Macaca mulatta: one gene and its partner. The protein of the gene in region 2 purifies or fractionates together with the protein of the main gene of each other region. This does not show direct contact. Links are inferred from orthologs where the notes say so. Each region holds a gene or a part of one and is shown on either strand. Other genes may lie near its edges.

What was found.
Region 1: the proteins of SBF1 (region 2) and MTMR1 purify together in Homo sapiens (affinity purification with mass spectrometry; 4 studies listed by BioGRID and IntAct, with this or other methods). This does not show direct contact. The link is inferred for Macaca mulatta from reciprocal best matches to the Homo sapiens genes SBF1 and MTMR1.

The regions. Positions count from the first base shown.
Region 1 is NC_133426.1:156,978,560-156,982,365, reverse strand, and holds part of MTMR1 (phosphatidylinositol-3-phosphate phosphatase MTMR1), read right to left. Parts: intron 2,890-3,806; coding exon 2,740-2,889; intron 1,826-2,739; coding exon 1,637-1,825; intron 1-1,636. UniProt on the Homo sapiens protein: Lipid phosphatase that specifically dephosphorylates the D-3 position of phosphatidylinositol 3-phosphate, generating phosphatidylinositol. Could also dephosphorylate phosphatidylinositol 3,5-bisphosphate to produce phosphatidylinositol 5-phosphate.
Region 2 is NC_133415.1:982,770-987,194, reverse strand, and holds the start of SBF1 (myotubularin-related protein 5), read right to left. Parts: upstream 2,904-4,425; 5' UTR 2,721-2,903; coding exon 2,666-2,720; intron 1-2,665. UniProt on the Homo sapiens protein: Acts as an adapter for the phosphatase MTMR2 to regulate MTMR2 catalytic activity and subcellular location. Promotes the exchange of GDP to GTP, converting inactive GDP-bound Rab proteins into their active GTP-bound form.

The DNA of each region.
Region 1 (3,806 bases), on a different chromosome or scaffold from region 2:
GGTGAATGCGACCTTATTTGAAGAGAAGGTCTTTGCAGATGTTTAAGGATCCTGAGATTTGCAGATGTGCTTAAGGCTTCAAAGATTAATTGAAAAGAGGGTCTTTGCAGATGTGTTTAAGGATCCAGGATTATTTCAGGTGGACCCTAAATGTCATCACAAGTGTCATTCGAAGAGAAAGGAGGAGACACAGAAACACAGAGCAAGAGAGGGTCATGTGATAACAGAAGAAGAGATTGGAGTGATGTGGCTGTAAGCCCAGGAAGGCTGGGGCAGCCACCCCATGCTAGAAGAGGCAAGGAATAGATTCTCCCCTGGAACGTTTAGAGGGAGCAGAATTGGCCTCCAGAATTGTGGTCAATACATTTCTGGTGCTATAAGCCACCAAGTTGGTAGTAATTTGTATGACAGCCTCAGAAAACTAATACTCCCCCATCTTCCTCCCTGCCCTGTTCCTCTCCCAGTCTTCCCCATCTCAGTAACAGACACCACCCTCAAGTCAGACACCTGGGCAGCCCCCTTGACCACAGGGGTGGTGAGCTTATCAGCATCATGTACTGTGCCCTGAGGATGCACCCGCCGCTGTGCTAAGTCATTTACATGCATTCTTCTCACTGAATTTTAATCCTCACACAACCGTGACATGAGACACTGACATTATCTCCTGTTTACAGAAGAGGAACCTGAGGCACAGAGAGAGGTTAAGTAACCAGCTCTGGAATCTAGAGCACCAAGTGGCAGAACCTGGAGGAAAACCCAGAGGTAAGTGATTCCAAAGCCGAGATGTCTCACCAACTTACCATCCTGCCTCTCAGGCCAGTTGGAATACACGGAGGGTTTGTGGCCCGGGAAACAGCCAAGCAGAGATGTCAGCCATACAATGGGACAGAAATCCAGTCTCAACCTTAGGAGGGATCAGGACAGGATAGAAACTGCAGTGTCAAGCTCAAGTTGAACTCAGCATACAGACAGTGTTTAAAGCTGTGCCATCAGAGATGGCCCCAGGAGTCTGTGTGGAGCAGAGAGGACCCCAGACCGAGTTCAAGGAGCAATGCCATTTGAAGACTGGGAAGAGAAATCAGTTAAGGAGATGGAGAAGGCCAGGCTGAATGAAAAGCGAGAGAAACTCAGGGTGTGATATCATGAAAGTCATGGGAACGGAGGTGTTTTTAACCACATCTCACTGCCACCCAAGGTACACTACACAGGTGCTCCATGAGATTTATGGAAACTTTGTACATTTACACATTTCACATCGCTGATACCATTCTAAAAGAAATTCAGACCAGACATGAATTAATCAAGTAACCACTATATTTCTTAAACGGACTTTCAAGTCCTCACGATCGTATCATTAAAATGCTAAATCCTTTAGATGATCATTGTCTTTCTAGGTCTTTGCTTAATTGATTTAGCAGACAGGATATTGTAGAGAAGCAATGAAACAGACAAGATCCCAATTCATGTGAGACACCAAACATAGCCCAAGGAGCATACACCAGGGAGGAATAGCTATGGACTCCAAATGATTCTAACTTCAGGTGGTGAAAAATCAACGAGTTATTCCAACTGCATAATGATTTACAGACAGGACATGAAAATATCCAATGTTTCTGCAATGCTATTAAGAATATACCTTGTTGGTATCAGCGACACTGTTTTGTCGAGCATCAAAAATGATAAGCTTGTGTGACTGTGCGTTAGCATCCATTATTGTTTGCAAATATTTTTCATCCTCTTTGCAGCGCTTATCATTGGGACCCACAAGTGGCTGGCTGCAACGGGTAATTGTTGCTTGACTTTCCGGATGAATCCATGACAACACCTAGTGTTTTTAAGCAACAAGTGTTAGTACAGTTCCTAAAGCAATGTATGCTCTAATTACCTGGTAGGAAAAACAAGTTCCCTTCTCAAGCATGGTCTCTTACACATATTTTCTTCAAAAGTGAGAGTGGACAGGCCAATCACAGAGTTGTAGTGGCCATCAGACTCAATGTTTTGGTCAGGATGAAACAATTCTGACTACATGAGATCTAAAAATCCCCTCCCACCCCAAAAATTCTATGATTCTAAGAAAAACCCAAATCAAACTATTACTAAAATCTAGCCCCATTCCAATTTGATTGACTAATTTTATCTTGTCTCCTAATTTTAAAAACAACTTTGTATCTCAACAATAACATACGTGGCAGGATAAGAACAAAGTGAATATACAGTCTCTTATAAAATCTGCCACTCTGCCACCCCACCTCTCATTTTCCTCCAGTGGCCAAGTGACTCAGGATTACACCAGATGCAAACTCTGGGCTCAAACCATTACTCCCTGCTGTCTGCTACTACTTCTGTAATGATGTTCCCCCCACGCAGCTATGGCATCATGCTCAGTATCTAAGAAAGAAGCATTTTCTCTAGGATGATGCAGTGAAACCAGCAATGCCAACTGGTAATACAACAGCATGCTAACTTGTTCTTGCTACTCCTTTGTTATTCTCTACTACTTTTAGAGGGTATGACTAAAGTTACCCTTATACTTAGTTATAGGAAATCGTACAAGAGGGAGTCATAGCAAACAGATTGCTTATATAATTAGGTATCTGTTGAGAATCAAAGGTATATCCAGGTTTATAAGTTTATTTTTCTGCTTTCCATTTTTGTTCACTGAATTCTTGTCTTAAATCTTTCCATCTTAGACCTAACGCAATACATATTCCTGTATAAATGACAATGTTTATTACTTACAGGGACTCTGCCTTTTGCTCGAAAAGCTGCCACTTTTGAAAGGTCATCGTCTTTTACACTAGTTGGCACAACAATGATGGCAGGGTAGGTGTCACAGAACTCATAATTACTGTTTATTTTGGATATTTTCCAACTCTCATTTGGCAAACCCTGTAAGGTGTTGGAGAAAGAAGAAGAGGGGCAAATGCATGACTTTACGCTTTGAAAAAGTACTAAGCATGAAGCATATCCATTTCTTATTTGCAACTAAAATCCATTTATAATTTGTTGTTTATTGTAACTTAAAAGTCAATATATATATTTATTTGGTAAAACCAATTTCCTAGACATTTCTAAAAATCTAAAGAAGCAAAAGAATATCCAAACCATACTAAAACATGAAAATTATACACTAGAATCACATTTCTATATATTTCTTGTCCTATTTTCTATAAATAAGCTCAGTGTTATTTCTGAAAATATACTCAAAAGTCCTTTAGAAACACAGATACTTCTTACAAATGTCTAAAATAAGTAACGTAAAACGTTATACCAAATATAAGGTAGAGACAACATCATGAAACAAACGTAATGAAAATAAGATCTTAGTGGAATAATTTGAAGCTGACAATGCACTGAAGAGTTCCCAGACCCAGGAACACCGGATCAGAATTATGTAGCCACACCACATGCTTCGAATCTAACTGTAGTCGGTGGTTTGGATCCTTACTCATCAATTCTTTACCAGAACATCCAATAAAAACCATCTGGCAAATTTGGTTTTTAAACCCGTCCTTGTCCTTGAGTCCCACTCACCCTCTGGAAACAGGATGAACAAACAATTACAAAGTCTAAGGTTTGGCACAGGGAGAAGAGAGCATCAAGAGAGATGGAGAACTATAAGCTAGCAGTTACACCTGTGCATAACTTGTTTGAAAAAGTTTCTTCTCTGGCCGGGCACGGTGGTTCACGCCTGTAATCCCAGCACTTTGGGAGGCCAAGGCGGGTGGATCACGAGGTCAGGAGATCGAGACCATCCTGGCTAACACGGTGAAACTCCGTCTCTACTAAAAACACAAAAAGTTAGC
Region 2 (4,425 bases):
AGGTGATCCCTGACTCACCAGGTGAGGGACCTGCAGATGGGCCGGCGCCGGCCACCATCACTCTCCGAGGTGAAAGAGTCACGGCCAGCACAGGCATTTACCTTCTCAGGGCCCCTCCCCACCTTTCCTGAGAGGTTTCCAGCTGGTGACCACTAGCAACTGGGATGCTGCCTCAGGCAGGACTCGTGCACCCTCAGCACCCTGGTCCTGCACCCAGCAGCTCCAGACAGGATGTCCAGATCCAGGCAAGACAAGCTATCCGCCCTCCTAATCCCCAACCCAAGAGACCCTGCATCCGGCCCTGAAGTCATACTCAGCCTGACAGAACAGAGGGGGTCCTCTACCCACTTAGAAGTGTCTGTTGTATCTGTGCCTAGAGAATCCACACACCTGCTGCTCAGTCACTAAAGATACTCATCATTTCCAGGGCCCTCCTGTGTGCCACCGCTTCACACGTGTGCATTCACTGCATCCTCACGGCAGCCTGGGAGGTTAGCATGACTCACTCCATCCCCAGATGAGGAAACTGAGGCACAGAGAGCCAAACGACTGGCTCCAAGTCACAAGGCTCTCAAGGGGCAAAGCAGAGATAAGTGATCCCCACGCCATGCTCCTCTGCCTCTTCCGCCCCCGACCTGCCCTGGTACCTGGTTCTATCCTCAGTCCATGACCAGAGTCCCAGTCTATAGGCTTGTTCCCCTCAAGGATAAACAAGTCCTTCAAAGGCGCTGCGAGGCCAGCAAGCAGCTGACCAGCTCAACCCCAGAAGGTAGTGGGCACAGGGCTCCACGGTCCCCCAACCCTACTACAGTGGACCACTTATCACTCCTCCCTGCCACTTAGGGGAAGGGCGAGGGGGGCACTTCAGGCTCTAGCCTTCTACCCTGTCCTGCGCAAAGGACACACACACACACAGGTGCCTGCACTACATGTGGCTCCAGCAGTGAGCACACACATGTCACGGCCAGCTTGTCGTGGAGCCCACTCTGCCTCTTCTCTGTGCCCACCTTCAACTCCTCACCCCACGGCCACCAAGCCTCCCACCTGGCCTTTGCCTGCAGTCTCTGCCAACCGAAACCCTCTCCACACTGCCCTTAGGATCATCAGAGTCATCATCAGCTGTTCCTGCAGCCCCTGTTCCGACCCCCAGCCCAAGGCCCCTCACGCCAGGGCAGCCCTCAGCCAGCCTTGCTTCCCTCAGGCACTCTCTGCCCCAGGTGGTACGGCCTCCTCTTTGCCCCTCACAGGTGCCTCAGCACAGACAGCTCCCTCTGTGGGTCAAGGCAACACTGACAGCCAGCCTGCACCCGGGGGATGAGGACTGTGTGCTCCTAGCAAGCGAGAACTCCCTCTCTAAAGAAAAAGGCAGATGCTCACGACTGACGGTGCCGTTAGACACACACTTGGATAGGACGGTGCCATAAGACACACATTTGGATAGACGGTAACAGGGAAGAGCGTGTGCTGCGTAAGAGGCTACTAGGAGGGGCTGGAGATGAAGAAGACGCTAAAGAGGCTTCAGGAAGTGTGTGGGGGGTCCAGCAGAAGAAACACAAAGAAAAGAGAAGTCCAGGTCCTGGGTGGGGACAGCGACAGCTGGACTGACAAAAAAAACACGGTAACTGGGAAGGTAACCTCAACCCCACCTCAACATCCAGCCCCTGCCTGACCACACAGCCATCCCCACTTACTGCCCATCTGCAGCTAGGATTTGACTGCCTGGGTGCCAGTCCCAGCCCCTCTGAGCCGGCCCAGGCCAGGCAGTCAACTTATCCCCGCCTGACTTCTCTACAGATGGGGGCAACAGCAGGGCAACCCCGGTGGGCTGCTGGGAGGAAGAGGTGAGATCATGCACACAAAGGGCTGTGCGGGGCCTGGCACACCGAGCACGCTCGCCAGCGCTGCTGTCTCCAGGCTGCTGCTGATGTCATCGTCAGGCTCCGTTTTCTCCTACCCCCTGGGCTGAAGGGCTCTCAGACACGGGCGCTGACCCCAGACACAGACCTCCTGGGCATAGGCACCCATTGCCACGCTGATCCCCCACCCAGGGCTTGGCGTGCAGGGCCTGGCCCGTCAGGCGAGTCGCCAGGAATACTCCTCTCTACTCTCGACGCTTCCTCCTGAAATCCTCCCAGTTTCAAGTCAAACACCGCTTCTCCATGCACCAACCCGAACTCCACCCCCTCTTTGCACCCCGCCAAGACCGCCAGGGGCTTCAGACGCAGCACCAAGGTCAGGGGCGGGCTGGTGAGCCGCGGGTCCGCGCCCCTGGAGCCACTAGAGCCACAGCCGCCGGCAGCCGGCCAAGGGGAGAGCCCGTCCCACCCCACAGAGGCCGGGCAGGCCGGGCCCAGGCTTCCCTCCCGGCCGCCACCAGGCCCGCGCGGCCACGCCGCCCCCAGCGGACGCCCATTCTCCCCACGGGCTGTCAGGCCGCCCCGACCTTCAGCCCCCACCCGGGCCCCGGTCCCCGTCCCCGTCCCCGGCCCTCAGCCCTCGGCCCCCCGACCCCGGCCCTCAGCGCCCAGCCCCCGGTCCTCAGCCCTCAGTGCCCGGCCCTCAGTTCTCGGCCCCCCGACCTGGTCCCCAGCCCCCAGCCCTCGACCCCCGACCCCCGACCCTCAAACCCAGCCCCCGACCCTCAGCGCTTAGCCTCGGCACTCACCGCGCGGGTGCGGCCCGAACGCCACCAGCACGAAGTAGTCCGCGAGCCGCGCCATGGCGAGGGACGCGGGGCGGCCCGAGGGGCGCGGGCGGGCTCCGCGGCTCGGGGACTCGAGGGCGGCGCGCTCATGGCCCGGCCCCGGCGCTGGACCGCGCACCCCGGACACCCCGGGTTCGCTCTGCGGCGGCGGCGGCGGCCCGGGCTCCCGCCGCCATCTTCCCAGCCAGCCGGCCCGCCCGGGCGCGCCGTGCGCCTGCGTGCTGTCGTCCCGCCCTGAGTGGGCGGGGCCTTCAACCGCGCATCTCCATTGGTCCAGAAGGTACGAGGGCGGCTCCCCGCCCATCGCTGCCCACTCTGGGGCCCGGGCACCGCCCCTCGAGCCGGGAACCCGGACTGCGGCTCCGGCGGGTCTGACGTCCCCACCCGGGTGGGCCGTGGTGTCGGCGGGAGGCAGGGGCCAGGACCACAGCTGCCCTCGCGGTTGGGACTCCCCGCACAGGGGCCCGAACCCCACTCCTGGGCCCTCCCAATCTGGGGATCGGGTCCCCAGACGCCCCGTCCCCCGCCCCTCGCTGTCCAACTGGAGGAAGGCGGGAGGAGCCTGGGCGCTGCCCACCGGGCCCCCCAAACTAGAAGTCAGAGGAGGCGCAGGGCCGTCACCTCAGGGGCTGCCAGCCTGGCGATAGGGAATGGAGAGAATCAGGCCCTGCCCTTGGGGGTCCCAGGCTGAAGAGCCCCCATCTGTAAGGCGAAGTGAGACATTTAACACATTAGCTTAAAAACGGCACGCTCATGTCCCCCTGTAAAAGAGCAAGTGTTCTAAGCGTGTGAGGCACATGAGGCCACGGAGCAGGGGGCTCTAGGAAAGCTGCATCACCCAGGATCCCTGACAGTACCCACCCCTCTCAAGGGCAGGGCTGGCCAGGGCCACCCCTGAAGTGGCTCAGGGATGAGCATGAGCCTACAGCAGAACATGCTGGGAGAGAAGGTGCAGGAGCCAGCCTGGTGCAGCAGGGAAATCCCTCTGAGCATAGCAGGCCAAGGTCTGTTTTTTGTTGTTTTGTTTTTGAGGCAGAGTCTCAATCTGTTACTCAGGCTTAAGTTCAGTGGCACGATCTTGGCTCACTGGAACATCCGTCTCTCCTGGGTTCAAGCGATTCTCCCACCTTGGCCTCCTGCATAGCTGGGATTACAGGTGTGCGCCACCATGCCTAATTTTTGTATTTTAGTAGAGACGGGGTCTCACCATGTTGGCCAGGCTGGTTTCGAAGTCCTGACCTCAGGCCATCCACCCACCTCGGTCCCCCAAAATGCTGGGATTACTGGCGTGAGCCACTGCGCCTGGCCCACCTGAAGGTCTATTTTTTGTTTGTTTTTGTTTGTTTTGAGACAAAGTCTCGCTCTGTCGCCTAGGCTGGAGTGCAGTGGTGTGATCTCAGCTCACTGCAAGCTCCACCTCCCAGGTTCACACCATTCTCCTGCCTCAGCCTCCTGAGTAGCTAGGACTACAGGCACCTGCCACCACGCCCGGCTAATTTTTTGTATTTTTAGTAGCGACGGGATTTCACCGTGTTAGCCAGGATGGTCTCGATCTTCTGACCTCGAGATCTGCCTATCTCAGCCTCCCAAAGTGCTGGGATTACAGGCGTGAGCCACTGTGCCTGGCTGGCCTTGAAGATCTGCTTTTAAATGAGTTTGGCTGCTGCAAGAACTAGCCAAATGACTGGCATCCACGCTCCCTCCATGGGCAGGATCCAGAC